Linked DNA regions of Canis lupus familiaris. The protein of the gene in region 1 interacts with the protein of each later gene in a biochemical or structural test. Links are inferred from orthologs where the notes say so. Each region holds a gene or a part of one and is shown on either strand. Other genes may lie near its edges.

Region 1 (4,698 bases):
AATTTCAGAATTGACCATAGGACTTCTTTTTTTTCAAAATCACTGATGTTTCTTCCTTGCACTAATATACAACAATGCTCATTTTTGCTTTTAGAGTCCTCTACAGTTTGCTACTTAACTACTTTTCCATGATCATATTCCACAGCTCAAACTCACTTGTGCCTATTACCCATCAAAATTATACCCACTCTTAAATATCACTATTTAAATATTAACATTTCGGGAAGCCTGGGTGGTTCAGAGGTTGGGAACCTGCCATGGCTCAGGGTGTGACCCCGGGGTCCCAGGATCAAGTCCCACATCGGGCTCCTGCAGGGAAGCCTGCTTCTCTCTCTGCCTGTGTCTCTGCCTCTATGTCTGTGTCTCTCATGAATGAATAAAATATTTTTTAAAATAAATAAATATTAACATTTCATTCAAGAAGCCCTCCATAAACCCAGCATTCTTTTTTTTTTTTTTAATTTTTATTTATTTATGATAGTCACAGAGAGAGAGAGAGAGAGGCAGAGACACAGGCAGAGGAAGAAGCAGGCTCCATGCACCGGGAGCCCGATGTGGGATTCGATCCCGGGTCTCCAGGATCGCGCCCTGGGCCAAAGGCAGGTGCCAAACCGCTGCGCCACCCAGGGATCCCTAAACCCAGCATTCTTAATCAACACTTATTAAACACTAATGATGTGCAACATAAATTACATTCTTACTAAGGTAAGGATTAAAAACTATAATCTGGACCAAGGATTTTAATTCCAGTTGTACTTGTATTTGGATTTTAGGAAAGGAAGATTACTGTAAAAGTACTTGGCATCTTCCCTAATAAAGACTTGGAAGGTCAAATATGTCTACAGCAATGACAGAAATAGTTACCCTGGGATCCCTGGGTGGCGCAGTGGTTTGGCGCCTGCCTTTGGCCCAGGGCGCGATCCTGGAGACCCGGGATCGAATCCCACGTCAGGCTCCCGGTGCATGGAGCCTGCTTCTCCCTCTGCCTGTGTCTCTGCCTCTCTCTCTCTCTCTCTCTGTGTGACTGTCATAAATAAGTAAATAAAAATATTAAAAAAAAAAAGAAATAGTTACCCTATCTTACTTATCTTCAAACTAGTAATAATCTCATCGGGGGGAAAAAAAACTTTCAATTAAAGTAACCTAAACCTAAAAAAAAAAAAAAAAATTAAAAATTTAAAAATAAAAAAAAATAGTATCCTAAACCTAAAGTTTTTTCAGTCCATATGTTAGATGCTAAATTTTCAAAAAGAGCCATGGGACATGATGGACAATTCTGAACCTCTCATGACACATGCCTACTTACCAGCAGGTGTCATAGCAATCAGATGTTATGACAGAGAAGTGATGCTGTGGGCAGTACTTTCTAGGGCCTTATTTCTTTTAGACCTGACCTAGTTTAATTCTTCTTTTGGCTCCTAAACCTGAGTTCACGTTAATTTTCACAGTTGTATATGTGAAGCATTTTGCTCCTCAAGAGAATGAAAATAGTCAAGATTCAATTAGTCTTTTTAAAATTTAATTAGTCTAAAATACTTGTTAAAACAGGCCCTTTATGGCATTTCTAAAATCACAATCACTTAAATTTGAATACATTTTTAAAACAGATTTGCTTACAACAGTAAAATATACCAAACTCTAAAGCTACTAATAACACTATTTAAAGACAAAATATAACTGAAAGAGCTCCAGCAAATGAGAGAGGATCTCAGTCTATCATCTCAAGTCTGTCTCTTCTAGACGTAGGACTTGAAGAATTTGCTCCACCTCGAAATATTTTCTCCCCTGAAAGAGGGATATCACCACCTCGAAGGTGGCTGTTCATATAAAATGAGATAATATACCTAGTACAGTACCTGCCACCAAGTGTTCCGTAAATATGTTTGCTTCCTTCATTCAACTCAAAACACACAAGAAAGAGGTGTAAGGGAGCCCACGCTTCCGTAAGTCCTCATCAGCACAAAATAATACAGCTAATTCTAATAAAAAGAACCAAGAACGTTTCTGAGGGATATGATCAAGATAAGGGAGGCTGCACGTAGTCCTGCAAGAATTCCATTAAGGCTGCACATATACTGACCACTAAAACATCATTAACAGCTCAAGTCCACAACAATTCTGCTAAAACGTGTGAATACATTTACGCCAAGAGAGTTCACTAGGGGTAAAGAAAAAAGTGAAATTAAGCCCAACTCCAAATGACTAATAAATCAACCAAGAGAGCGGTGCAGGCTTATCCTTCTTGAAACGCATACAGTGTGGGTATTAAAATCCATTTTAAAACTTCAAGATTAAAATATTTCACAACCCACAGCGGTGCCACTGATGCTTTTTACGGACAGCCTGCGCGGGGCACCGTTAGCACGACCGAAAATATTTAATGAAAGCCGTTCGCGGAATACCGGGGAGGGGAGAAGATTATTTCAGGTTCTGCACACAAGACCGCGGCCAACACCACCACCGACGAGCATCCGATGGAATTCCTGGCTCTACAGTCGGGATGTCAAGAGGAAGGCCAAGATGCTAGCATCATGGGGGCCGGGGGCGGGGGCCCGGGGACCACTTCCGTTCCCCTCCCGGGGGTCCCGGCTCTAAAACCCGCGCCGCGCCCGGATCCCCGGGTCCCCGGACACTGGCCTCCGCCCCCCGAGCCCCTCCCCTCGGCGAGCGGAGGCCGGCCCGCGAAGCGCAGTGAGCAACACCCAAACCTCCAGCGGCCCCCGGGCCCCGCCCGAGGCCCCCGGCGCCCACTCCGCGCGGAAGCCACGGGCTGGGGGCGCGGCGGCGCGGGAGGCCGGGACGCAGACGAGGCCGCGGCTGCGTCCGCCGCGTCTCCGGGCGGCGGGTGGGCGGGCGTGGCGCGGCCTGCGGACAGGCGCCGACACTCACCACACCATGCCGTAGGCGCCCTCGCCGATGTAGGAGAGGTTGGTGTAGCGCGGCCCCACGTCGAACACCTGCCCGCGGACCATCTCCGGGCCCGCGCCCGCCGCCGCCGCCGCCGCCATGTTGGCTGCCGGGCCGCCGCCGCCGCCGCCGCGAAAGGCTCGACGCTCCGCGGCCGCCGCTCGGCCCACGCCGCGCCTCCCGGGGGGACTGCGCCGCTGCGGGTGCAGCTGCCGACGCTGATCGGAAAGGAGCAAGGAGGGCAGCGCTCAGGACCGCGGGAGAGACTACGGCCGCTCGGACCGACTGCCTGCCTGCCTGACTGACGGGCGGGCCGGCGGGCGGCGGGAGGGGCGCGCGCCGAGGAGGGCGCCGGGGCGGGGCCAAGGAGCGTGCGCGCGGATTGGTTCCCCGCCGCCTGGGGGCGGGGCTGCGCGGGCCGGCGGAAGCGGCAGGTCGGGGCGGGGCACTGCGGCGGCGGCGGCGGCGGAGTCACCGCCCTGCCTGGTCACGTGCGCCCGCGGGGGTGTTGGCGCGGGATGCGGGCTCCGAGACGCAGAAGGACGGCAGGGCGTCGGGACGGGGATGGGGGCCGCGGGCCTGAGAAACTTTCCGGGCGAGGCGAGCCCCGGAGCGGGGCGCTGACTGGGCCGGGGCACGACCTGGGGCCGCGCGTGCGGCATGCCGACGCTCCGCACACCTCCGCGGGCCCGCGCGACCCCGTGGCCCACGCACACACCGAGGCCTCCAGACGCGGCCAGGAAAATGAAAGGCAGGACCGAGACCACGGAAGATATTTGCATACTGAGAAAGTGTGAAACACAAAGCCTCCAGCGAGAGGCTCAGGATCCGCTAATCAGACACCTTCCTTCCACCAGTGTTTGGTGAGCAGCTGCATTGTTCCTGGGCATCCACATTCTAGAGTGAGGAGATAACCCGGTGGGTAGATGAGACAGGAAGGAAGAGAGGTAAAGAATACTCAAGTAGTGGGACCCCGGGATGGCTCGGTGGTTGAGCGTCTGCCCTTGGCCCAGGGCGTGACCCCGGGGTCCTGGGATCGAGTCCCGCACCGGGCTCCCTGCATGGAGCCTGCTTCTCTCTTGCCTGTGTCTCTGCCTCTCTCTCTGTGTCTCTCATGAATAAATGAATAAAATCTTAAGTGCCAGGAAGAAATACAAAGCCGACTGAGGGGTTGGGGTTAGTGGAGAAAGACAGAGTCAGAGACTGAGACCCACGTCAGTACAGGTAGACAATCTTAGGACATAAAAAACAAATGCAAAGATGGAAACACCAAAACCAAAACGTTAAGATCTAGAGAAAATGAGACAAACACACCGAGGCCCTGAAGTACTCACAAACGCCAGAGGTTGAAAATTTAAAATCAGAATCCTAAAGCAGGTGAATACCAGGAATAGCTAAGACAAATGAGACAGGAGTGCTAACAGCCACTGCTTCTGAGCATTTCCCAGGCCATCTTTGGAGGGGAAGTAAGGATGCAAGATCCTACATCCCAGTTCTCCAACACTGTGATCTTGAAAGCCCTCAACTCTGGACTTCTAGACGTCAGCAAAGTTTAGTCAATCTCAGAGGTGAATAAGCAAATATTTAAAAACCTGCTAGCAGGACGTCTGGGTGGTTCAGTGGTGGAGCCGCTGCCTTTGGCTCAGGGTGCGATCCTGGAGACCGGGGATTGAGTCCCGCACAGAGCCTGCTTCTCCTCCCTCTGCCTATGTCTCTGCCTCTCATTGGGTCTCTCATGAATGAATAAATACAATCTTTAAAAATTAAAAAAAAAAAAACCTGCTAGGAAAA
Region 2 (4,079 bases), on another chromosome or scaffold:
GCAGCCTTGCCCTAAACCAACCGAGCAACATCAAAAAATGGTCTTGCCAGGCCCATTATGAGTGAGGGATGTAATGAGGCGCCTCCGGCAACTCCTAGCACCCGCATGACAGCTGCTGTGTGTTCCCATTCTGGATCTGGCCCTTATTCCTCTCAGATGGGCTCTTTCAGCAAGGACCAGTTAAACTGGACTACACTGAACCAGTTAAGTGGATTTTGTGGGGGACACAGTAGGACCTAATTTCACAGAATTCCTATTCTCCTGCCCCAGTCCTCTCAACACCTGGCCTGCCTCCCTATCGGCAGCTTCTCCACAGTTAACTTAGGAGATATGGGAGAGATTCCAGGGATCAGAGGATTTCAAAAGCTCATACCTTTGCATCATCCAACAGAGGGCTTCCTGGCTCGGAGTCGATGGAGTAGGGGGAGAAACCAGCCTGGGACCCTGAGTCAGAGGCCGGAGGGGACATCAGAAGGATATTCTGATTGAAGTCTTCAATCTTTAGCTCCACATCATTGTCCACCAGGCTGCCTAGGTCGATGCCCTTCAGGAGCTCTGCAAAGAAAACCACATCTGGCAAACAGTCTGTTTGTAAAGAGCCCCCGCCTGGGTGCCTGGACCAGGGCTGAGCTGGGTAAGGGGCACATGGTCCTTGCTTCTGCTTCACCCCCAAAGGTACCTTGTACACAGCATCCGTGGGCTCTCCCCAGTGCCTAGCATAGAACTTCTACAACCAGAAGGCCTGATAACCCTTCTCTCAATGAGCACACACTCACTGTTTTTCTGATTTGCCAGCTTCAGCACCATGTTCTCCTGGCGTAGTTTATGATTGACTTGCTGCAAGTACTTGATGTAGTCAATGGCCTTCCTCAGAACACCAGACTTGTGCATCTGGGAAGGAAGCCAGGTAAAAACACAGTGGCATCACTGCAGGTGGCACAATGAGAGTGGGGAGGCCAGAGCTCATGGGGTGAAAGCATGGCTCCGGACTGAGATGCTGGGCTCAATCACTGGTTAGCTGTGCTACCCAGGACAAGTTACTCAGCATCTCTGAACCTCCTTAAAATGAGGATAATGATGATACATGAATCATGAACTTGTAGTGAGGGTAAAATGAGATAATACATGTACAGAGAGTAGCCCCCGATCTGGTACATAGTGACAATAAATAAATATTGTCACTCCTCTTTTCTTTTTTCTTTTTTCTTTTCTTTCTTTCTTTCTTTCTTTCTTTCTTTCTTTCTTTCTTTCTTTCTTTCTTTCTTTCTATTATTATTATTATTTTTTTTTTTTTTAATTTATGATAGTCACACAGAGAGAGAGAGAGAGAGAGAGAGGCAGAGACATAGGTAGAGGGAGAAGCAGGCTCCCGGTGGAGCCCGACGTGGGATTCAATCCCGGATCTCCAGGATTGCGCCCTGGGCCAAAGGCAGGCGCCAAACCGCTGCACCACCCAGGGATCCCTCTTTTTTTTTTTTTTTTTTTTTAAGATTTATTTATTTATTCAAGAGACACACACACACACACACACACACAGACACACACAGACACACACAGAGGCAGAGACACAGGCAGAGGGAGAAGCAGGCTCCATGCAGGGAGCCCGATGTGGGACTCAATCCTAGGACCCCAGGATCACGGCCTGAGCTGAAGACAGATGCCCAACCGCTGAGCCACCCAGGAGTCCCTAGTACTCCTCTTTCTTATAATAATCCTAGAACCAAAACAAACTTTAAAGAAAACAACTGACAAAAAACCGGAGCACTGTTGGATAGCCATCTTAAGTTATGTTAGCACATTTCAGATCTATAGGCTATGAGGAAAATCAAATTTTCTTTTAAAATAGAGATGATAGGGCAGCCCCGGTGGCTCAGCGGTTTAGCGCTTGGGGTGTGATCTTGGAGACCTGGGATCGAGTCCCACGTTGGGTTCCCTGCATGGAGCCTACTTCTCTCTCTCTCTCTGCCATGAATAAATAAATAAAATCTTTAATAAAATTTATAAATAAAATAAAATAAAATAAGAGATGATGAAGATAAATAGGTAAAACACAAAAACAAATAAACTATGTGACAGAAGACACATTCACTGAAAAACTCAAAATAATGAACAATCTATTCCCTCTATTTGCTGTTGGTTAAAGACCTGATCTCCATTTTCTTTCTTCCCTGCAAGGTAAAAATATTGCTAACCACCCATGAACACAATTAAACATATGCCAGCAACACCACCAGCTGATTCCAAGGTACATACAATCTGCACCTGACTGCCAGTGAGCAGTAGGCAGCCCTCCACCTGGGGTCCTGGGATCCATCATCACCACAGAGCAGAGTCAAAGGTCCAGCCAGGTTGCTACCTTCCCAAACCCAACAGTTCCCTTATGTTGGTTAATATTGTATAATCTTGAAAAAACCCCAAGATGCTACAGAAAGAAAGCACCTCTAACCATCCTTACATTCACTCACTTGGACCTGGGTTTTCCTAAATTCCTAAGGCAAAGATAGGTAGATGGGGAGATGATGGCCCATGAAATACCGTAATGCTTGGCACCCACCTTGGCATCTGTCCCCATGACCAGGTCCTTCAACTCAATGATTTTGTCATTAATAGAGGAACGATACCGCTTCTCAATGATGTTGTGTGTCGTCCGCCTCTCTCCTTCTTTGGGGGGCTCCAGCTGCTTGACTCCCCCAGGCACCTGCTTGATGGGCACTTTCTCTTGCCCCATCATCACAGGCATTGTGGTCAAAATGGTTCCATTGCTGCCCACAAGAGTCTAGAACAGGCACAGACACAGAGCAGAATTAGCCCATGGTTAGTCTGAATGAAGCAATCCCAGAACACAAACCTGCAGCCTTGGCCATGTGGCCTTGCCCGGTCTGATGCCCTTCTTGGCTGGATTAACTCAGGCCCCAAGAAACCTCAGGAGCCACAGTATCTGAGTTACTAAGCCCCATTCAGAACCGCTGTCAACAAATCACACCACAATAGGATTAATGTGGGTAAATATATTTTAACCTTTGGTCTCAGGGTACTTGAAAGATTATGATTTCTGCTTTGGTGTCAAACCATTTAGCCACCTCTGAGCTCGCATAAAATGTACCATATCATTCTGGCTCCAAGGCAGTTTCTCCTGGTGTAGGATACATCTCTTCCTCTCACATGACGGTAAAACCACTTGCTGCCTTTCCTTATATAATTTGGCCATCAACAAGCACAAGAGCAGAACCGATAGAGCCATTCTACTGAGTAAACAGGCCAACTGTAGAGGCTCCTCTTTCCTCAACTCTGCTTTCCCCTCTCTGTTTCTATTTTTTACTCATTTTAGCTTTATTTTCAAAAAATGGCTTCAATATCCAAATGGCTAACGAACAAATAAAAAACCACCCAACTTCATTAATCACTAAGAAATAATTCTCACATAATAAAAAAATACACATTTTAAGTATATAGCTTGATACATTTTTACATAGGGATATAATGTATGTAACCAAGATAACCCAGACCAAGACACAGACGATTCCTATCCCCTTAGAAAGTTCTCTTGTGCCTCTTTCCAGTTCTGTCTGCCCCTTCCCCCTCTGTGATCACTGCTCTGACCTCTATCACCACAGCTTAGTTTGGCCTCTTTTAAAACTTCATATAAATGCAATCATCAGCATGAACTCTTTTGTGATAGGCATCTTTTGCCCAACATACTATTTTTGAGGTTCAGCAGTCATATGTATCAATAGTTCTTTTTGTACATGTGTTATTTCCAGTTCTTGGCTCTTATGAATAAAGCTTACTTTCAAATTTTGATCACCTATTACTCTATCAGACTCTCTTGCCATAACATACCAAAGTGGCTGTGACCCTGCAACCCAAGGATGGGGGCCTTCCGTGTCCCTCAACTTATAGCCCCTCCCTGCCTGATGGGTGTAGGGTCCCTCAGAAGTCAAACCTCCATCAGCAGGACCTAAGAGGCAGACATTCCTGTGTGGAGCTGCTACATGGGAACCGGGGACCCTCTGCTAGTCCTCTCTCCTCCCTCAGTCCCTAGTACTCCCATATAACATGCATTGATGGTACTTCTCAAG
Region 3 (4,079 bases), on another chromosome or scaffold:
AAGCCTGTTTTGTAATATGTGCTATACAGCAATTTAATCTTTTCTGCCCAGTGTAATTCTATTTTTCCTGTTCCTTGAGTTACGCAGAGTAGCTTAAGCTTTCGGACTGGTGGTGCTGCATGCATGTGGAGCACTTAGAGTAACAGCAAGACTCAACAGGCAGCCAGGGTCTGGTGTGGCTTGATAGCCGTGCTCTGAAAAAGCACCTCGGACTGAAATCAACATTGGAAATAGGTCAGATGCCCAACATTTTGGGGTGACACAAGACTGCCCAAAAGGAAAAGCAAATGTCTACAAACACAGACACTGAAAGGACCAAGCAGAAGGTGAACGCTGTCAGCACTTAAGACGCGCCAAATGTTAGTCACGAGAAGGCATGACCAGTGACATGTGAGTGATGGCACCTGGGGGCAGATGCTGGGGACCTCACGACCAGCACCTGCGACATCCCCAGCTCCTGTGCCGCCATGTCCCCTAATTCCAACGTGGCAAAACTGCCTTTGTTTAAACACAAATCGCTCAACGATTTCACAATCAGCAGTAATTCTAAATTCTGTAGTTAGAGACTGAGCAAGTTTTAGAGACCCCTTTAGAAACCACAGGTCAGAAGCCTCTTTACATTCCCAAGACTTTCAGAGTCAGCATGATACGCACGCAGCCAGAGGAAAAGTGACAACTTAGGTGTTTTGTGAGCACAGCCAATAAACCCGGGCTTTCCCCAAAAGACCCTCTGCTTCCACAATGACCCAGCCAGGCAACACCCGGAAAAGGCATACAGCACTCTATGTGCTTGCTACGGCAAAGCCACTCGGGACTCAGCTCCCTGATGGGATGTCACCACAGATGCCCCATTCACACCGACTCCGGGAGCCACTGCTGGAAACTCGGGAACAATGGGAGCTTTTTCCCTTGCAATACAATTTTTATCTACAGAACATTTACATAATTACATAATGAGAGCTCACAGATTCTCTATTCAAATTAATGGAATAACAAAGTAATACAGTTTTGATTCATAGGCACTCTCAAGGATCCCTCCACCCCTTGCCCCTCAATAACTCAGATAAAAGACATATCTGCTCAAGGCGAATTTCAATCTTGAGTTTGTTCAAAAGTCCTCAATCGCATGATTGTTCCGAGACAACGCGAAGCTACAAGACAACGCGAAGCTAGCAGCGCTGACACCAAGAAAAGTGAGCACAATGCGACGTCGAACCCAAAAGCGCGGGCGCAGAAGCGAATCAGCCCCCAAGCCCCCAAGCGTGAGATGCCGGTGACCCGAGAACGCGGTGCCCGTGCCGGGCCCCCCTACGGATGCGGAATTCAGGATGTCCCGGCATCCCCTGTGAGGAGGGGAGAGAGGCTGAGCTGTGTGGAAATGCGGCAAAGCAGCAACCCGGCCCCCCGCCCCCCGCCCGCGCCTGTGGCCCGTGAGCGTCGCCAGCGAGGACAGACAGTAGCGGGACAGCATCCCCGCTGGGGCTTAGCTCACCTGCTCACTCTCCTTCCTTTTCCTTGTCAACTAAAGTGGACACACGTGGTGTGCGCCCCTAGTTACTCCTCAGAGCTCACCTTGCCTGAGCCCCGCTTGGGCACACCCCTGTCACCGCCAAAGAAGCGCCCGAGGGAGTCAAGGATGCCCGTGTCTCTGTGCCTCGGGAGGAAGCCATGCCTGGCGTGATCCATGGCGCTTGCTGAGGCCAGGTACTTGGATCCGTGCCTCTGGGAGGGTCTTTTCTGTGACGCCATCACATCCAGGCCCTCGGGAGTGGCTGCGCTGTCCTCTTGGATGGTCTGGAGCTCGTCTGACTCCGAGGGCCTGTCTTTGAAGGTGTTGTCCTCCCTCCCCGGGGCATCTCGGGAAAAGAGGCGGATCAAGTGGGGGCGGCCCCCTGGGTCAGCTGGGTTGGCGTCCTGCCAGGCATTCTTTGGGTCTGCTGTGCGCTTGGAGTCTGTCACCGCTGTGTCCTGAGAGGGGGTCCCATTGTTCTGCTCCACATCTGCCTCCCCTGCAAACAACAGTGAGATATGAACACGGGCCGTGCAAAGCAGAGTGAGGGACAATGCGGCTTTCTTCCAGGGCTGGGGACCTGCTTGTGTCCTACCAAACCCACAGAATGCATGCGCGCCCGGGGCCGTCAAGCTACCTGGTAGCCCCAGATCACTCGTGGTGGGACCCAACCTGGACTGAGCGTCCTACTTGCAGGTCTTGTCTCGGGGAACCCCAGGGGCTGCCTCAGTTACTCGACACCTGGTGCCCTAGATAAAGCGTACCCCAGCTTCCTGCTGAGGAGGCCCAAGCAGACACAGCAGTCACCCCTGGGCGCCGCCGCTGCTGCTGCTGGGCGTGGAGGGGCCAGGGCTGCAGGCGCCTCTGTGGGACATCGAATCCCTCCAACTCCACTGGTGCACAAGCTAAGCGTGTTGGGAGCAGTGGTTTGATCAAAGGTATTTTCAGTGTTCTCGATAAAAATGGAACTTCCCACATCTTTTTGCAATTCATGCCCTAAAGAAATGGGGCATTTAGAATCCTTGAGTTTCCAGATTCCACAAGAGGCCTCTTGCATTAGAGAATTGCTTATTCAGGGTATTTTAATTTGGCTTTTCTTCTGCAAGCAGCCCCAGTTACAAAGTGTGAAGTGGGAATGGCGTATTCTGTGAGCCATATGACCTTCTCCCAGCTTTCACACATGTACGGGAAAATACCGCATTTCCTTCCAGAATGGCAACACACCCATTTTGCTCTCAAGTTACAAGTTAGGTTTGAGGGTATGTCCACCCTACTTCACTCCCCCCTTCATTACATATCTATAGAAAATGTGGGTTTACTCATGCTTTCCTCTAATATCATCCATCCATCCATCCATCCATCCACCCAACCAGCACCAATCTGTTCACTGACATTTACCAGCAACAGCACCCACTTGCCCATTTATCTGCTGAGCCACCTACCTACCAATCCAGCTACTGATCCAGTCACTGACCTGTCCACCCAGCTAACCCTCCACCCAGTCAGCTGCACATCTTTCCACCTACCCACCCAATCACCCATCCATCTGCCCGCCCACCCACCCAGCCCCCCAACCATCCATCCACCTGCCCAACTACCCACTCACCCAGCTGTCCAATCATCTATCCACCCACCCCCAGCCAACCACCCACCCAACAGCCCAACCATCCATCCACCCACCCAACCATCCACTCACACACCCAACCACCAACTCAGCCACCCATCCATCCACCTGGCCACCCATTCATTATTTATGGAGCACTTAATAACCATCATATACTGAGCTAAATGTTTGGGCTGCAGTGATGAAAAAGATGTGGTCCTTGTCTCATAAACATTAATGGAAATGAATATTAGGAAATGAAGTATCCCCCAAAAAGGCAGGTCCCCATCCTAAGTCTCAGTCCCTGTGAATGTAAACTTATTTGGAAATAGGATCTTTTGTGGATATAATCCAGGTAAGATGAGGTCGTCCTGGCTGAGGGTGGGCCTAACCAAGTGACTGGCTGGTGTCTGTATAAAAAGAGGGAGATACAAAAGGGATATAAAAAGATACAGACGCAGACACACAGGGAAGGGACCTTGGGATGGTGGCAGGGACGGGAGTGACGTGGGAACACCCGAAGGTAAGAGACAGGGCACAGGTCCTCCCCTAGAGCTGGTGGCGAGAGCACAGCCCTGCTGACACCTTGGTTTCAGATTCCCGGCCTCCAGACTTTGAGAGAAGAAATTCCTGTTGTTTTAAATCACCCAGGTTGTGGTACTTTGTTGTTGCAGCCACAGGACACAACTACTATGTATAATTTCCTATCAACCTGTGATAGAAAAGACAACAGAGCAGGATAAGGGGCTTCAGGGGCCCCTGAGGGATGGCGTGAGGGGTCAACGTACACACTGGGGCGGAGCTGAGGGCCTCTGCCAAGGGGTGGGCACCCAGCGCGGGTCTGGCAGGGAGAAGTAGAAAGGTCTGGAGCTGGAGGGCCTGGTGTGAAGGAGAGGCCAGTGTGAGGTCAGCAGCGGGGACAGGGGTGGGGGGAACGAGAGGCCAGGGAGGCCCAGGGGCCCGGTC
Region 4 (4,079 bases), on another chromosome or scaffold:
GCAGGAGCTGGCAGAGCCTGGGTGCGGCCAATGCCTTAACCCTTTATTCCTTGTGTCTCTCCAGGCTCGGTTTGCTGAAAAGGAGGAGCTGATGTTGGTTCACAGGTGAAGGCTTCAGGGCCTTGTAGCGGTGGGGAGGAGGCCACCCTGGGCCAACCAGGGCAGGCCGCATTCTCTGGGAAGGAATGTCCTAGGCCTTGTGGCCTTGAGCAAGTTGCTGAGTCTCTGAATCTGAGCGTCCTCGCCTATCACACGGGAACTTGTAAACAGAAGTTCCTCAGGAGGCTCCGAGATGTGTTGAGTGCTTAGAGTGGTGTCTGCCATGTCATCAGCCCACAATAGGCTGTTGGTATTACAACCTAGTGTGTAAACAGAGGATGGACATGTGGAGAGTGATTGGAGGTTCCTCCATGGGCTGTAGGAACCCAGAGTGAGGGCCCTGGTGTGATGTGATTCAAGGAGAACTAGCTTGGCAGAGGGGCTGTCTGAGCTGAGAAAGAGTGAGTCAGATGAAGAGGAAAGCTGAGGGAAGGGAGGTACAGACAGCTACAACAGTGTGGCCAATGGCCTGGGGGTAGGATTTATTCTGGCTAGAGCAGAGAGCAAGGGATATTACTGGAAATGAGGCTGGCTGGGGAAGAATCAGGAAACATGTCCTGTATCCCAGCTGATCCCTCAGATTGACAGTTGAGGGGGCCTGTCTTGACCAGGGCTCAGAAGGGACAGCCCTGACTCAGGCCCAGGAGGGAGGCAAATCCTTGAATCTCATCTCCTGTCTGTGTCCCCAGCCTAGAATACATTGATCTGATGGAGACGACCCAGTATATGAATGAGGGAGAGCTCCGCATCCTAGCTGACACCTATGACTCAGTTTATCTGCATCCGGTATGGATAAGAACTGTAAGAGCAGAGGGTGGTGGCAATCCTAGGGTTTCCCATCCCCATGCCCACCACATCCTGGGGAGGAGTAGTGGAGTGGACAGGGCTGCTCTCTCCCTTACTCCCTCTCTGGATCCCCACTGTCTTTTCAGAACTCCTATACTTGTGCCTGCCTGGCCTCAGGCTCTGTCCTTAGGCTGGTGGATGCAGTCCTGAGGAACGAGATCCGGAATGGCATGGCCATTGTCAGGTAGGACCCACCGGCATTTGGCTGTTTTATATTTTAAAAAATTCCTTCTCTCGAATGTAAAATGTATTGGTATGGGTGGTATATTCATATGGTTCAAGAGTCAAAAGATACAAGAGGGGATACCAAAAAATCTCCTACCCTCATCCCTCAGAGACCTGCTTTCTCTCCTGGAGGTAGCCATTGTAACCAATGACTCATGTGTGCACCCAGAAACATTCTGTGTTTATTCGTGGAGTAAATGCCATATTTTATCAATGCTGAAATCTGTATTTTACCATCTTGAAAACCAGACTCATCTTGCAAACAGTGGCGTCTTAGAATTCATTTAGCAGTGTTTTCTGTTTTGTTGTTGGCATGTGAAATCACTATACATCTTCACGTTGTTGGCATCCCAAAATTGATGAAATGCAGAAGATACAGCCTTTCTCCTCCCCCTTTTTTTAGCCACAAAAGGTGGTAGCACTCAATATGCTCCCTTCCGTACCATGCATTTTTCACTTCTATGTCTTGGAAAGCTTTTCTCGAACAGTGCATGCCTTAGATCTGCGTAGAACGACACTGTGCAAATGCACAGGAAGTTAACCAGCCCCCTAGAAATGGGCGTTTTGGTTCTCCCCAGTCATTTGCTGTTTCCAAAACATGTCACAGCAAATACCATTATCCATTTAGAAACATTGTTATTTCACCCTTTATATTTTGTGGGCTGTGGGCTAAGTCCCCGGGAACAGAATGGCTGTGAGGGTGTGTGCACTGATCACTTTTATTTTACTTATTTTAAAAATTTTAATTCCAGTATAGTTAACATGCAGTGTTACATTAGTTTCAGGTGTACAATATAGTGAAAAAAAACATGGAACACTTTACAAATTTTTGCGTCACCCTTGCACAGTGGCCATGCTAATCCTCTCCCTCTCCCTCTGCCTACATTTTAGTATATGTGCTGCCAGAGGGAGCATTACACGTTGATAACTTTAACGAACATTATGCAATTTCCTTTGGGTAGAGAGCAGTAGATGGGGTGAAGGTCTGGGGGCCCCAGGTACTCAGTTCCTGACAGATTTGTAACCAGAGGAGTTGGTGGTCTAGAATTGGAACACAGGGGAGAGTCTGCCTCTGTAGAGGAGGACCCCCACCCCCAATCTGTGGCCTTCCCTGTCCTGCCCAGGCCTCCTGGACACCACGCCCAGCACAGCCTTATGGATGGGTATTGCATGTTCAACCATGTGGCCGTGGCTGCCCGCTACGCTCAACAGAAGCATAACATTGAGAGGTCAGCAGCAAGCAGGGGGGCGGGGGTGGTGGGGGTGGCACAGGGTAGGGTATCCTGGTCTGGGCCCTTCCGCCAGATGCACCTTGATCCTCTTACATAGTACCCCACCTCTGTCATCCTCACAGGGTCCTTATCGTGGATTGGGATGTACACCATGGTCAAGGAACACAGTTTACCTTTGACCAGGACCCCAGGTATGCCCTGAGTGCTGCCTTAGATGCTAGACTTCCAGCCACCCCCGCATCCTTACAGGCCCAGCCAGGAGCCTAGGCAGGAACGGAAGGCATTCACATTCATCAGGCCCACCTTAGAACCCAGTTCTGTGTAGCTCTCTACATTGCCTTCTTTCTTGCTTAATTTCACTGTGAGGCAGGGTCCGCTGGCTTCCCCATTTTACAGATGGGGGAACTGAGGCTTACAGCTCACACGGTCATACAGAGTAGTGGGAGAGATGAGATTTGAGCCCACAGATGTTTGAAGACCTTGTTCACAAGTTTCCCTCGGAACTGGAGTGAACTTCAAATTACGGGTTTATTTTTCTGATTCTGACTACTGCAAAATATTTAATGAAATTGAACAACATTGGGGCACTTAAGTGGCTCAGTCGGTAAGGTGTCTGCCTTAGGCCCAGGTCATGATCCCAGGATCCTGGGATCAAGCCCCATGTCGGGCTCCTTGCTCAGTGGGGAGCCTGCTTCTCCTTCTCCCTCTGCATACTACTATGCTTATACTTTTTTTTTCTGTCAAATAAATAAAGTCTTTTTTAAAAATTCCAGCAGGATTTTAAAAAAAGCAAAGATAATTGAGCAATACAGAAATGTCTAAAACAGTGAGTCTCCTGGAATTCCTGCCACTTCCAAATAACTTACTGATAGTGTCAGTTATATTCTTACAGAATTTTTTCTTTAGATGGATGAATATTTAGTATGGTCATTAATGCACCCCCTAATGGGATGTTGCTTTCTGTGTTCTTCGGCAATTTGCTTTTTGCATTTAACAACGTGTCCTGGGCACCTCTCCACATTAATGCCTCTAAAGAACACCTTGGTCTTTGCAAGGAGCGTTCAGTATCCCGTTGTATAGCTGTATCTCTGGTCATTTAACCCTCGGACATTTATGGTGCTTTCCAGTTTTTGCTATAACAGACAGTTCTACAGTGGAAATATATCATTTTATATTATCTTAAAATCTGTAATTTAGAAAGATGTAACTTTGCATTCCTTTGTACACGTATAGGATGTACACATATAGGATGAATTTCCAAGTGTGGATTGCTGGGTCAGAGGGTCAATGGGCTTTCAAATCTGGGGTCTCCTGCCAGACTTCCCTCCTGAAATGTGGCACCAGCTTACCCTTCCTGTGGAAAGTGATTGAGCAAATCCTCGTCAGTAGGGACACTAAGTGTTGTTTTATTCAACCTTCTATCAAATCAACTGCATAGAATCCCCTTTTTCCCCCACAGATCCCAAGTTCCCATGGCCTATTATTTAATCTAGGTTGGCAGTTCTCTGAACATTGCTTTATTATTATGTAGCATTCAATGTTGCTGACAGGTGTCTGACTTTTATTTCTTTCTGAGTAATCCATTTCCCTCTCCAAAGATATCACTTTCTTCTTTCTATCCCTGTGTTCTGAACTTTCATCCCGGCCTCTTCATTCCCCTTAGCAGGGAGTAGACAT
Region 5 (4,562 bases), on another chromosome or scaffold:
AGCCTCCAACCTTATGTATCACCATGGCCTATACCATCTGGGTCCCATCACCGCTCTGACCTTGCCTCCTGCTTGCTTGCCTGCCTGCCTGCCTGCCTCCCTCCCGCCCTCTGCTCTGCTCCAGCCACACTGGCCTCCTTCACGTTTCTTGAATGCACTAGGCACAGTCCCACCTCAGGGCCTTTGCACTGGCTGTTCCTTCCACCTCCAGAACACTCTTCCCCTAGATATTTTGTCTTCCTCCCTGATCTCCTTCAGGCCTTAACTCAAGGGTCACCTTCTAAGTGAGGCCTGCCCAGTGCCCAAGATTTCAATCACTCCCGTACTCTCTCCCTGTCTTCCCGACTTCACTTTCCTCCTTAGCGCCTAACATACTATCTAATTTTACTTACTGTTTTATTTATATAGTCCGTCTCCCCCACTTTTAGCAAACGTCTGCTCCACAAGGGCAGGAATTTCTGCCTGTTCTGTTCCTTCCCATATCCCCAGCACCTAGAAGAGTGCCTGGTACTCAGTAGGTGCTAAGTGTTTGCTGAACGAACAGTCCCAACTAGTTTCTTTAGCTAGTTTTCGTATACCCTCTTCATCTCCAACCCTTCCCTCCCCTTGCACCCTGATTTGTCTGAAATAATATTTTTCACCTTCATGCATGCAACAAATTCTTATTGAGCACCTAGTATATACTAAGTATATTTACCCAGCAGTAAATAAGCAGACAAAAAAACTAAACCCTCATTGGACTGACTGTTCTAATGGGGAGGGACAGTGAACTGGTAAACTACACAGTGTGTCTGATAGTGATGAAGGGCAAAGGGGACCACTACTGCAGAGAAGGAACCTGAGTCCTGTTAAGTATGTAGGTTCAGATGATCAGGGGCAGGCTGACATTTGAATAGAGCTCTGAAAGGACTCACATACAGATCAGGGGAACGACGTTATTCCAGGTAGAAAATATAGCCAATGCACAGGCCCTCAGGCTGGGCTGTATCTGGCGTGTTTGATTTGAGGATGAGTGAGGAGCTTTGTATGGCTGGAACAGAGTCGGAGGGACAAGGTGCAGGAGGTGCAGCCAGAGAGGTTACTTGTCTTATTAACTCTCAGATATGTTCACACTGGAGGGGATTCTGGTTTTGATGCCTCCATTTTACAAATGAGGAAGCAGGTGCGGAGAGAAAGTGGTTAAATCACTCAGATCATATGGCTGCTGCGATTGCGGGTGGATGGGTGCTGAGAAAAAGTGTGGAATGGAGACAGCTCTGCAGGCGGGGGGGAAACTAGCAAAAACAAAAGCTTGGAGACGGGAGGTGCTTTGTTTTTTAAGGAGTGGGGTCTCATGTGGCATGGGATGAAGTGAGAAAGGGGATCCTCAAAAATTATTCTGTGTTCTGAGGGGCAACCTAACTGGGTACTTACCTCTGAATAACGTATTGAGCCCCTTGTGCCGAACTTTCCTGAGTACCTGTCTCACAGGATTGTGGTGAGGACGAAATGAGGTCATGGATATAAAGCACTTTGCCAGGTACCTAGTAGGTGCTCAATAAACGTTAGCTCCTAATGGCATTATCGCTATCTTGAATGCATCCGTTTATTGCAGTGAGGCAGAATGTCTTAGGGATTAATGATGTGTACGAGGGGGATGTGTTCTAGAGTAAAAAAGAGCCAGGTTCAACAAGCACACAGGATGATCCACCATTAAGAAGAGAGGAAGCAGGGAAGGCCATGGACTGATCCACCACAAGGAAAGGAGGGACAAAATAAAAGCACCCTCCTGGAGAAGAGATTACAAAGCACTGGACTCAGGGGAGGGTATGGGGGTGTGTGCCTGGATGCAAGCACATGGGGAACAAGAAGGCCAATGAACAGATCCACTGCAAAGGCGGGGGTGGAGGGGAGTGCAAAGGCTCATCTTCTTTATGGGGGGCAAGGGGAGCAGAAAGGCATCTACTCTGCACAAGAGTAGATGGGGTGAAATGCCATCACACGGACTCATTAAAAGGAGAAGGGAACAAGGCCATGGAATGAGCTACTGAAAATGGGGAGTTCAAAAACACGAAACTGACCCACTATTAAAAGGAAGAGAGAAGCCCAAGGGCTGGAGAAACAGTCTGAAAAAAAAAAAAAAAAAAGAGGCTAGGGCAATGGGCTGATAACGACAAGGGATGTGGATACTAGCATTCAGACCGATACACTGTAAAAGATAAAACCATGGGACTGATGCACTGGGGGACTGGAGGAGGCAGGAATACAACTTCACAGATTAACTCACTGTTAAAGGGGGTGCGGGGGGGGTGCAACACGCCATGGACTGATTCACTACAAGGAACAGAACTACAAGGCCACAGACGGGGCCCTTGAAAGTTGAGGACAGGAGAAAATAAACAGTCAGATGCACCTTCTGTCAAGGAGGGACAATGCCCGAGGCTGCTCCCCTCTAAGTGGGGGTGGGGGCGGGGCAGGACCACGGACGAGTCCACTGTAAGGTGGGGTGGGGAGAACTATAAGCACGCAGACCGATCCATTATAAAACAGGAAGGGGGGTCAGGCCACGGTCAGATCGACTACAAGGGGCGAAGGGAGGGGACAATACCACAGGCAGGTCCACCAGCCGTGGCGGTGGCGGTGGGCAGTTGAACACCAGCAGGCCATGGGCCAAGCCACATCCCTCGCGCGGGGGCGGGAAGGATACGTGGGGTCACGGACGGGCCCTCCACCCTCCAGGCCCCGGGCTCACCTGTGTGTAGCGCAGTGGCAGTATTGGCAGCTCCGGGGGGCGGGGGCTCCATGCGCAGCCCCACCGCCCCCCAGGCCCGGGCTCCGAGGTGGCGGTGGCGGCGGTGGCGGCGGTGGCGGCGGCGGCGGCGGCGGCACCTAGAAGCCGCCCCTGCGTTTCCTCACGGCTCACGTGGGCCCCTGGAGGAGGAGCCGAGCATTCCGCGGCTGGTTGATTGGACACAGCGCCTTGGCTCGACCGCGCGGCTTCCAGGGTTGGGGAGGCGGGCCCTGCCCCGCAGAGCTAGGCCATGATTGGCCCGAGGAGAACTGATGGAACGCAGATAGCCGCCTGGGTTCCGAGGGGGCGTGCTGGGCCCCGCTGGCGCTTCACGCTGATTGGCCCAAGGCTGACAGCCTGTGGGCGATTGACAAGATTCTGGGGGCGCCTGCCTGATAATAATTGGCCTGCATGGAAGACGGCCTCCGAGGATAGGGGCGGATGGACTCTGCTTTCTACTGATTGGCGGACTAGGGACTCCAGACAGCTGCCAAAACACCAACTGGGCGGTGCTGCACTCCACGCTGCTCAGCGGAAGCGGGACTTATATGGAAGTGGGCGTAGCGGCAGGCTGGGAGGGGGTCGGGCCAGGACTGTGCGTAGGTGGGAGGATAACTCTATCGTGATTGGGTAGAAAAGACGAGTTTAGGACAGAGCAGAGATAGGGTTGGACAGCGGCCAGGCACGCAAAGGAGCGTTGAGTGGCGGAAACTAAAGCCTACGAGGAGGTCAGCGTTGAGCCTCAGCCAGTTATAAGGGGGCGGAACCTGGCTCTGCAATGATTGGCGGAAGCTAGACTCAACCTAAAATAGGGGCCGGCCGGGGTAGGGCGGGATCAGGCTCTGCGCCCATTGGTGGAAGCTGAAATTAGTTAGAAGCCGGGTGAGGCCAAGGTTGGAATGAGACGGGCGTGGGTGTAATCTAAGGTACCCCAGTAATGATTAGGGTGGGGGAGAGGGGCAAACTTTAGGGCCAGGAATGAAAGGCTGATTGTCTTGGGAACAAACCTCCACCCTGAATCAGCCCATTCTCTATGATTAAGACAGTTACGTCCAGGAAGATAAAAGGGTCAGGTGGGAGGCCCAGGTTTCCAAGGCGACAGAAAAGAGGGCAGTGCAGAAAGTCAAGTGGCAAATGCTGCCAGGCAACAGGCTGGAGGCGGGACTTCAGGGGTGCTTTAAAGGTTCCACATAGAGACTGGCTCTCTGGGGTTCCTGGTAACTTTGTGCTTTAGAAACAGGGCACCTTAGCAAACAGCAAAGGGTTGAGGTGGGGAAAGAAGGGCCATGTGACTCAAAGGCATTCAGGCTCTTTAATGTCTACGGAGGCGGGAAGAAGTCAATAGTGAGGTGTCTCCGGGAAATTCTGCAGGCCTTGTAGTTCTCTAAGCCCCTGAAAAAAAGGATAGAAGAGATTGAACAGAGATTGTCTAGGCCTCAGCCCAGGCTTGCTCTGACCTCCCCTCCCTCAGAGCCAGCCTGGTTCCTGCTTAGAGAGGAAAATGGTCCTTCCCATCCCTGGCTCTCTCCCTTCGTCGGGTCACACCACCCTGAATACATTTGGAGACAGAGTCTGGGAATGGGGTGAGGTACTCTCACCTCTAGCAACATGTGGATATGGGCCTTGATATTCATGGAGTCCTTGGTGAGGCTGTCGCTGAGCCTGGAGAAAAGAAACAAGAAAGGGCCGAGTGGGCCACACTTAGGCTCATGAAGATGATTTTTCCTCATCACTTCAAGAACTGCCTATGTCCTGGATGATTTCCACATGGCAGGTGGTAGGACATGTTACT
Region 6 (4,079 bases), on another chromosome or scaffold:
GCAAGTGCTTCACTGGCTATTGTGAGCCCATCTAGCACACGTGACAGAGCAGGGAACAAAGCTTTACCTTAGGGAACCATGAATAACTTGGATAAGTAGCCTAGATCCCTAAGGGCAACTGGGGAATACAAAAATGGCTGATATTGCTGCTCCTTTACAGTTTTTTAGAGATTTCCAAGACTGACTCTCCAGCTGAGTCGCAACCCAGTAACTTCCACTGTCCAGCTGCTAACAAGTGAGGGCTCACAGCACAAAGACAGGACTAAGGGGATCTTAATCTGGATGCTTCTGTCACCCTGTCTCCAGCTTCTTCCCTGCAGCTGTAACACCGACTCTGCTTTACTTGCAGCCAGGAATGAAGACAAAGAGCATCCTGCGAGACCAAATCCAGTAAATTTCTGCAAATGAGCTGGTGAGAATATCACCAGCACCCTATGGCAACAACACTACTGCATAGCTATGGGTGATACTCTACTTTTCCCACAAGTGCCTTTTCCCACCCCTGGCAGCTTTCTCTCTTCCACATTTCCTTTATTTGGCTTGTGCCTTATTCCTTCACAGCCAGGGACAGAGTGTAAACTCAAGCAAAAATCTTCCAGTTTTTCATTTTTGGGCCTACCCTGGGTTTGCCACTGCTCAAAAGCTTCTGGAACTGTCTCTTCATCACTAACCTGGTTCACCAAACCCGATGGGTCTGGGAGACAGTGGGATGAATAAGAAATCATCAGATGATATTTAGTTTGATTTTTAAACTAGTCTGTATTCTCAATGCCCTGCCTCATCCTAAACAGTTTTGGATGGAAAAACAAAATGCTGCAGAATAAAAGGCTCAAAAAAAAAAAAAAAAAAAAAGAAGTAATAAATAAATAAAAGATAGCACTATCAAGTATGTACCTCTTTTCAATTTTTTAGGACATACCCAGCACTGTTGTCAAATTCACATTTACTTAAAAACATCTCAAGTGGCCTAATAAACAGGCTTGCCCGCGCATTTCCCTTCTTGAAATGTTAATCAGTGTTAAGTACATCTTTGTGTAGAGTATGCTCCTTGAGGTCTACTAGCAAGAAATTTGGCACTAATTATTTTTTTTTTTGTGAGATGCTTGCTTACTAACCTATAATCTGAAAAATATAATGCCCTAATTAATCATTTATTTTGATAAACATTACACCATCAGTTAAGTCTAAAAAAGGAAGATAATTGTTTTTGTCTTTGCTAAGTTAAACAAGCAGATGGTCTCCAGTACTTCTGCTGCATTTCCTTTGTTGCTAAAGTATATGTTTCTTGGGATTACATCACCACTTAAATGAATTTGATTAAGTGTGGGGGGTGGGGTGTGATCCCTCAGGAAGTATCTTTTCTGAGATTGCACTTACAACAGGGCTTTTTCCATTTTCGGCAAATGTGTGCAACACATTATTTTTCTCTTTCTTTTATCAAGAGCAAAGACTGTAACAATTATGCCACTCCCAGAAGGATGCAGCTGTTTCAAAACCCTTCAAAATAGAAAATAAAATATATTCAAGCATCTATGCCTGGCAAATAAAATAGGACATTTGCTTCCTTGACTACGAGGTCTCCCTTCAGCCACAGCAGTATCTTGCAACCAAGAGCAGAGCACCAGGTACTAGAGCTGAAGAGCTCTCGGGTAGGCAGGTGTACCCAGCTCCCACTGATGCTTGCAGAGGCAGCAGCACCATCTACCTGACTGGAAAATCACTGAACATTTCAACCTACCTGGCATCTGGAAAGGGCTTCCTGGGTCTGAGCTGGTGGGCGAGTGCGGGTAGGTACCACTGCTGCTTCCAGGAGAGTTGGGGTAGCTGCTACTAGGGGAGTGAGGGAATGGATGGCTGTTGGGTTGCTGGAAAGAATCTGGAAAAGTGGCGTTGAGCGGCATGTGAGGCTCGTTTTGTCCTAAGTTACGGAACTGAGCTAACAGGCTGTGCTGAGGATTATATTCGCTGTGTCTTGGAACCAGCACTGGAGGAAGAACTGGAAAAAGGGAAAGAAAAGAGAAAGACAAACATGAAAATGATGAAAATCTGTAATAACGTCACAGTAGAGCAGAAACATAATCTGTAAGTAACAATAAATTATCTGAACCCTGCCCTGCTGCCAGCTCAAAAGCATCATTCAGATGCAAAGCCATTTTCTACTCAGGAATAAATGCGGTAACAAATAGTCTCTTTAGAATTGCTGTGACTTGTGCTCGAGATCTGTAGCACTAACAAACTGCCCAAGAAAAGTGCAGGACACTTGTTATGTTCAAAATGTTAAGGTTCCCGCTTCTGAATTTTTTCATTCACTGAAAACCAAAGCACAATTAACATATGCCACCATCAACAGTACCACGTTTACAGCCCCCGTTGAAAAGACGTTACATTCATTCATTCATTCATTTATTTATTTATTTATTTATTTATTTATTTGTCATGAGGGAGAAGAGAGAGAGGCAGAGACACAGGCAGAGAGAGAAGCAGGCTCTATGCAGTGAGCCTGACATGGGACTCGATCCTGGGTCTCCAGGATCAGGCCCTGGGCTGAAGGCAGCGCTAAACCGCTGAGCCACCAGGGCTGCCTGAAAAGACGTTACATTTAAAGAGTTAATATTTATTGAATGGTATGAATTATTCATCACAAATGTTTTAAATTGACACTTTACAACAAAAGGAGGCCCAGTATACTAACAAGGAGAGGATAAATACAGCCAGCAGCAAAAAATCCAAATGCCAATAAAGGTAGTTAATTAGACAAAATACAACATCTTGGGGACAGACTTTATGTTGTGTCCAAGTAGTCATACTTCACAAAAAATTTTTTCTCTGAGGATATTAATGCATTTAACCCACTTCTCAGTAACCCTCAGAACTACCTGACAGGGAAAGGAAGAAACGGGTCATACAATTCACATTTTGCTAACTGGATACTCAAGGTATAAAGGTCAAAAACATCCACACCACTGGAGAATGAAAGAAAGCAGCTCAAGTCACTCCTAAAAAGCTCTGTATGTTAGGAACCTAAGGAGTTAATAATTAGCATGGTTTGCAACCTCCAGAAACCTCTAGAGGCAAAGCCACTATAAGTTATGATGCTTATTAAAGTGAAGGCCTGGCTAAGAAGCCCTAACTGGGTTAGATCCTCAACTCCCCACTACAGTCTCCAAACGGACTCCCCAGGAAGGAAGGCCGTCAGAATCCCTACTACTCTCATGGCCTTGGCTAGAAAAACCACCCATTTGGAAATCTGCACGAGGAAAAAGGAGGAGATTTAAAATCTGCTATTGTTGTTGGGAGTTAGAATATATTCTCTCGAGAGGATGTGGAGAAAAGGGAACCCTCTTACACTGTTGGTGGGAATGTGAACTGGTGCAGCCACTCTGTTAAACTGTGTGGAGGTTCCTCAAAGAGTTAAAAATAGACCTGCCCTATGACCCAGCAATTGCACTGTTGGGGATTTACCCCAAAGATTCAGATGCAATGAAACGCCGAGACACCTGCACCCCGATGTTTATAGCAGCAATGTCCACAATAGCCAAACTGTGGAAGGAGCCTCGGTGTCCATCGAAAGATGAATGGACAAAGAAGGTGTGGTTTATGTATACAATGGAATATTACTCAGCCATTAGAAATGACAAATACCCACCATTTGCTTCAATGTGGATGGAACTGGAAGGTATTATGCTGAGTGAAGTAAGTCAATCGGAGAAGGACAAACATTATATGTTCTCATTCATTTGGGGAATATAAATAATAGTGAAAGGGAATATAAGGGAAGGGAGAAGAAATGTGTGGGAAATATCAGAAAGGGAGACAGAACATGAAGACTCCTAACTCTGGGAAACGAACTAGGGGTGATGGAAGGGGAGGAGGGCGGGGGGTGGGGATGAATGGGTGACGGGCACTGAGGGGGCACTTGACGGGATGAGCACTGGGTGTTATTCTGTATGTTGGTAAACTGAACACCAATAAAAAATAAATTTATTATTAAAAAAAAAAGAATATATTCTCTCAAAGAAACAATTATGTCGTGGCATTAGGAATTAAGTAGATTTTTGAGGGCTTTCCAGGGAATCTAT
Region 7 (4,726 bases), on another chromosome or scaffold:
CCTGAATGAGTACTTGCAGAGGCACCTCACTACTATTCTGAACATGTTCCCAGATGCCATGGGCCCTCAGAAAACTGTGTCTGAATGAATGAATGAATGAATGAATGAATGAATGAATGAATGAATTCCTCTACCTGGGACCACACTCAAGATTCTCCTTCATCCCCTCCCCAACACCCTTCAATTTTCTCATTTCTTCTTGTTCTTCAACATGCTCCTTCCACTTCCAGCAACAACGTTCAGCTTCCTGCCACCACCAACCCCAACACAAAACCCCACCTCTCCATTCCCCTACTCTCCCTCAAACCAGTCTCCCTTTTTTCTAGGCATTTTTCCAATGAGTGACTTCGAATCTCAGCTCCAAATCCACTTATCTGTGAGGTTTTTCTCTTCCTCATTCATCTGACCAATGCCTGTTCCTTGATTCATTCAACAAAGAGTTAGGAAGCACCATCTAGGCACCAGGTCCCATATGGCTTCTAGGGGTTTAGAGCGAATACACAGCCCACGCTGTCAAGTTCTCAGCTGGGTCAGAGACAATCCACTGTAGGCTCTGCACTCTAGGCAGAGGGTGCTCCTGGAGCCCCGACACCACGGTTGAGGTCTGCTAAGCAAGAAAAGGCAGCTCATTCCCTTCCCTGGTCTGTCTCCCATTGGTGTTCCAGGGCACCGCATCAAAACACTTTTGTGGGTCTTCCCCTCCAGACTGTTCTGAAATCTTTTTTTTTTTTTTTTTTTTTTTTTTGCTGTAAGATGTCTTACAGACCATAAGCTCTTTGAGGCACAACAAAACCCTATAAGCTTTACTACCCTCTCTCCAGTATTCTTCCCCCTATCCACCCACACACGGTATACTAGAGTGCTCAGTATTAATGGTGAACAATTGAAAAGCTCAGACTTTGCATATCTTCTGTTTCCCCTCCAGCTCCAGGCTTAGCTTGGGTCCCTTCACAGTCACACTCCCACATGGGCTGGAGCCTCCTCCCCAGCCCCCAGACGCTTTCCTTTATCAATTCAGACTACCCATACCCTATGTTTTCCAAACACAGTAGCCACCAAGTAATTACTACTAATACTAACAATACAAATCTAACATTTATTGTTTTCTATTTGCTATACCTTATTCGTCTACTAGACTGTAGACTCCATGGGGGCAGAGATTTTGCTTGCTACTGTAATCCCACTTAAAATAATGTCTAGCACAGACCCAGCATTTAATAAGTTGAATACTTAATACATAGTTGACCCTTGAACAATGCAGGTGTTAGGAGCACCAGCCCGCCCCACTTAGTGAAAAGTCTACATATAATTTTTGACTCCTCTAAAACATAACTACAAATACCCTACTGTTGACTGGATGTCTTACCAATAGCATAAACAATGGATTAGCACACATTTTGCATGTTATGTGTATCGTATGCTGTATTCTTACAATAAAGAAGGCTGGAGAAATGAAAATGTTATTAAGAAAATCAGGGATCCCTGGGTGGCGCAGCAGTTTGGCGCCTGCCTTTGGCCCAGGGCGCGATCCTGGAGACCCGGGATCGAATCCCACATCAGGCTCCCTGCATGGAGCCTGCTTCTCCCTCTGCCTGTGTCTCTGCCTCTCTCTCTCTCTCTGTATGACTATCATAAATAAATAATAATAAAAAATGTTTAAAAAAAAAAAGAAAATCATAAAAATAAAATATACTTATAATACTGTATGTAGTGGGAAAAAACCTGCATATAAGTGGAACGGCATGGTTCAAACCCATGTTGTTCAAAGGTCAACTGTCTCTCAATCTATTTCATCTTCGAAATGACATTATGAGGTTGTGATTATTACCTACATTTTAGAAATAAAGAAGCTAAGACGTGGAAGCCACCCAGGTTCAGGTGGCTAGTCTGTGAGGGAGCTAGGATTTGAATCCAAGGGATCTACCCCCAAAAGAGAGAAGAGAAGTAAAGTAAGCCCAGGCCACTGGATGGGGGCAGAGGGAGCCTGGGAGAAGTACAGTCTTGAGAGAAGTCAAGAGACAGGGGGCTGGGGAGACAGGAGGTGGGACAGTGAAAAGAACAGTGAGACCCAGATGGAGACAGGTGCTGCCTGGGGAATCAGAGTCTAGAAATGTGGACTCAGCAGAGAAGAGAGGGAGGAACCAGGGAAAAAAGTCTCAAAAGAGACTCATGGAGAAACCGACAGAAAAGGAGTGAATGCTTAGGAGAGACAGGACAAGATCCAGAGGAGAGGAGAGTGCGGGGAGGACGTGGGCCAGGGAAGGGCAAGGACCCCGAAGAAACGGGCCAGTGCAGGCCAGGAACATCCACCCAGGTAGGGGGAGAGAGGAACCCAGGGTATGGCACAGGAGATCAAGGAAGCATTGAAACAAGGCTGAGGCATAAGAAAGGGACATTTTCCAGTGACGAAAACAACTTTCTACTAACTTCCCTAAACCCAGCTGTAAAAGAAGAAACCAAGAGATTGTTGTCCAGGCCTGAGGGGAGGGGGCTGGAAGGGCCAGGACCCAGGGGGCACAGGGCCAGGACCAGGTGGAGGTGGTGCTGGCTGCTAGAGAGGGTCCCCAGTCCAACACAGGCCACCCATCTAAAAGCTGAGCCAGAGGCACAGTGTGGGGAGCGCCTCCAGGTGGGCGTCCTGGCTCTCCACGGGGTTGCCCTGCCCCTGTCCAGTTCCCACCGGACACCCAAATACCCGCCTCCACACAGACACACAGACGCAGCATCCCAAACTTACCCACCAATCCATCTCTGCTCCCGGCCTCAGTTTCCCCCTTTCCCTAGCATCCAGCTCCTCCCCTCCGCCGGGGTCCGCGCTGGCCAGCGGATGGAGGACACCACTCCGAACCATCTGGCCTCCGAGAGGCAGAGGGCTGGCCGGCCTTCCCGCACTCCTTCCCTCACTCTCCCGAATCGGCCCCACCCCTCCCTCAGCGAGCACCTGCCCCCACATTCCCAGCCAATCCCTAGCCCCAGCTGACTTCCTTGGCTGGCCTTGGCTGGCCTTTCACCCTCTCCCTTGCCTCCGACTCAGGGCCGCCGGCCGACTGGGGAACCCCAGCTCCCGGCCGCGCTGGAAGTGGGGCCACGCCGGCCCGAGGTCCGGACGGGCGGCGAGGGCCCACTCCTGCGGGGCGGCGCCCTCTCCACCCGCCCCTACCCCGCACCCCCAGCCCTCGTCCCGTCCCGGGGCTCACCAGTGGCAGCAGCAGGCCAGGCACGGTGGGGAGGCCCATGTCCGGCCAGCCGTGGCCTCTCACTCCCCCATCGGGGCTCAGGCAGGGGCGGCGGCGGGGTCCGGGATGCGCGGGCCCGGCGGGTCCCAAGAGGAGCCCGGGCGGCGGGCAGGGGAGCCCGGGTGCGGACTGGAGAGACGGTCCCGGGACCTCCAACCCCAAAGGCCAGAGCTGGAGGCTGAGTCCCGAGAACTGGGAGAAAATTAAAGCAGAGAGCAGAGAGAAGGTGGGAGGGAAGGGAGAGAGTGGCAGATGGGGTGTCGCAACTGCGGGACAGGAAGAGCCTGGGGGAGGAGGAGGGAGGAGGCGGGGGAGGGGGGGCGAAGGGCTGTAACCCTTTGGAGCTCAGTCGGAGGCGCCTGCAGCCCTGGCTCTGGCGGCAGCCTGGGGCCCCCAGCCCAGCAATCCGACCCCTCCAGCCCCGACCGGAGGAGCGAACAGCCCCCCACCCCACCCACCCAAGACCTTTCCCACGTGACCAGCAGTAGACTGGCTCAGGGCTTTGGAATCTAATTCACTGGGTTCCAGTTCAGAATCCTCTACTTTTTTAGCTGTCTGGTCCTGGACCAACGACCTACAGACAGCCTGTGAGTCTGTTTTTCAGTTTCCCAGTTGGAGAGAACCTAGCTCGTGGGGTGGCTGTGAAGATTTCCTGAGACAGGTGTCTGACCTGTGACAGGCACTCAGCGGTCCGTAGTAAGTCCTCCCTTTGCTCCAGAGTTCTCCACTGACACCCTAATCTCCCACTCTCTTGGGTATTTATCCCTCCAACCCAGACTCAAAGTAAACGCTAACCCTGGCTTTCTGCCCTGACTGGGGCCCTGACACCCTCCCACCAGTCTGGTGCTCATCTACTCTGCCTGGCCAGGGCCCCCAGCTGCTGATGCTGGCTCTGCCACAAAAAGTTGAGGGACTTTCGGCAAAACCTCCACCAAGCCTCATTTATTTATTTATTTTTAAGATTTTATTTATTTATTCATGAGAGACACAGAGAGAGAGGCAGAGGGAGAAGCAGGCTCTCTACCTGGAGCCTGATGTGGGACTCGATCCCAGGACCCCAGGATCACGACCTGAACCAAAGGCAGAAGTTCAACGACTGCGTCACCCAGGTGCCCCACCAAGCCTCATTTATTAGGTGAGGGTAACATTGCCTGGCCCACCTACATGGGGAAGATGATGTCATAAGGATTAATGAGATCATATCTGTGAAAATGCTTTGGAAATTACAGCTATCTGGATCACGTTACTAGTACATTCTGTGCCCCTTTACCAGATATTCCGATATATCAATCCAAATTGACCTTAGATGTAATCTACCACAACCCTTTGTTTTATAAGAAAATTGAGCCCTGAAATCCCCAAACCCTAACTTCAGTTGAGTGCCCGTTTTGCCACTTTTCTGTCTGTCCCCTTGAGTCAGATACCATACTCTGGGTATTTCATGCCACCCCCATTTGTGCAGAATATCTCCCAGATGAGTCCTACAATAA

The links.
Region 2: of the proteins of MAPK1 (region 1) and SREBF2, one has a biochemical effect on the other in vitro, tested with the Homo sapiens proteins (2 studies listed by BioGRID). The link is inferred for Canis lupus familiaris from reciprocal best matches to the Homo sapiens genes MAPK1 and SREBF2.
Region 3: of the proteins of MAPK1 (region 1) and MBP, one has a biochemical effect on the other in vitro, tested with the Homo sapiens proteins (16 studies listed by BioGRID and IntAct). The link is inferred for Canis lupus familiaris from reciprocal best matches to the Homo sapiens genes MAPK1 and MBP.
Region 4: the proteins of MAPK1 (region 1) and HDAC6 form a complex in vitro, tested with the Homo sapiens proteins (2 studies listed by BioGRID). The link is inferred for Canis lupus familiaris from reciprocal best matches to the Homo sapiens genes MAPK1 and HDAC6.
Region 5: of the proteins of MAPK1 (region 1) and ELK1, one has a biochemical effect on the other in vitro, tested with the Homo sapiens proteins (16 studies listed by BioGRID and IntAct, with this or other methods). The link is inferred for Canis lupus familiaris from reciprocal best matches to the Homo sapiens genes MAPK1 and ELK1.
Region 6: of the proteins of MAPK1 (region 1) and SMAD1, one has a biochemical effect on the other in vitro, tested with the Homo sapiens proteins (3 studies listed by BioGRID). The link is inferred for Canis lupus familiaris from reciprocal best matches to the Homo sapiens genes MAPK1 and SMAD1.
Region 7: the proteins of MAPK1 (region 1) and TNFRSF1A form a complex in vitro, tested with the Homo sapiens proteins (2 studies listed by BioGRID, with this or other methods). The link is inferred for Canis lupus familiaris from reciprocal best matches to the Homo sapiens genes MAPK1 and TNFRSF1A.

What each region holds. Positions count from the first base shown.
Region 1 is NC_049247.1:31,299,435-31,304,132, forward strand, and holds the start of MAPK1 (mitogen-activated protein kinase 1), read right to left. Parts: upstream 3,193-4,698; 5' UTR 3,009-3,192; coding exon 2,890-3,008; intron 1-2,889. UniProt on the Homo sapiens protein: Serine/threonine kinase which acts as an essential component of the MAP kinase signal transduction pathway. MAPK1/ERK2 and MAPK3/ERK1 are the 2 MAPKs which play an important role in the MAPK/ERK cascade.
Region 2 is NC_049231.1:24,437,847-24,441,925, forward strand, and holds part of SREBF2 (sterol regulatory element-binding protein 2), read right to left. Parts: intron 2,777-4,079; coding exon 2,555-2,776; intron 892-2,554; coding exon 777-891; intron 556-776; coding exon 374-555; intron 1-373.
Region 3 is NC_049222.1:2,889,902-2,893,980, reverse strand, and holds part of MBP (myelin basic protein), read right to left. Parts: intron 2,010-4,079; coding exon 1,573-2,009; intron 1-1,572. UniProt on the Homo sapiens protein: The classic group of MBP isoforms (isoform 4-isoform 14) are with PLP the most abundant protein components of the myelin membrane in the CNS. They have a role in both its formation and stabilization.
Region 4 is NC_049260.1:42,212,330-42,216,408, forward strand, and holds part of HDAC6 (histone deacetylase 6), read left to right. Parts: intron 1-64; coding exon 65-105; intron 106-788; coding exon 789-900; intron 901-1,031; coding exon 1,032-1,129; intron 1,130-1,973; exon of another isoform or gene 1,974-2,085; intron 2,086-2,294; coding exon 2,295-2,399; intron 2,400-2,524; coding exon 2,525-2,593; intron 2,594-4,079.
Region 5 is NC_049260.1:41,470,175-41,474,736, forward strand, and holds the start of ELK1 (ETS domain-containing protein Elk-1), read right to left. Parts: upstream 2,882-4,562; 5' UTR 2,732-2,881; intron 1-2,731. Other genes in the region: protein UXT, read right to left, coding at 4,109-4,162, 4,369-4,432. UniProt on the Homo sapiens protein: Transcription factor that binds to purine-rich DNA sequences. Forms a ternary complex with SRF and the ETS and SRF motifs of the serum response element (SRE) on the promoter region of immediate early genes such as FOS and IER2.
Region 6 is NC_049236.1:44,445,106-44,449,184, reverse strand, and holds part of SMAD1 (mothers against decapentaplegic homolog 1), read right to left. Parts: intron 1,997-4,079; coding exon 1,739-1,996; intron 1-1,738. UniProt on the Homo sapiens protein: Transcriptional modulator that plays a role in various cellular processes, including embryonic development, cell differentiation, and tissue homeostasis.
Region 7 is NC_049248.1:7,447,874-7,452,599, forward strand, and holds the start of TNFRSF1A (tumor necrosis factor receptor superfamily member 1A), read right to left. Parts: upstream 2,910-4,726; 5' UTR 2,852-2,909; coding exon 2,738-2,851; intron 1-2,737.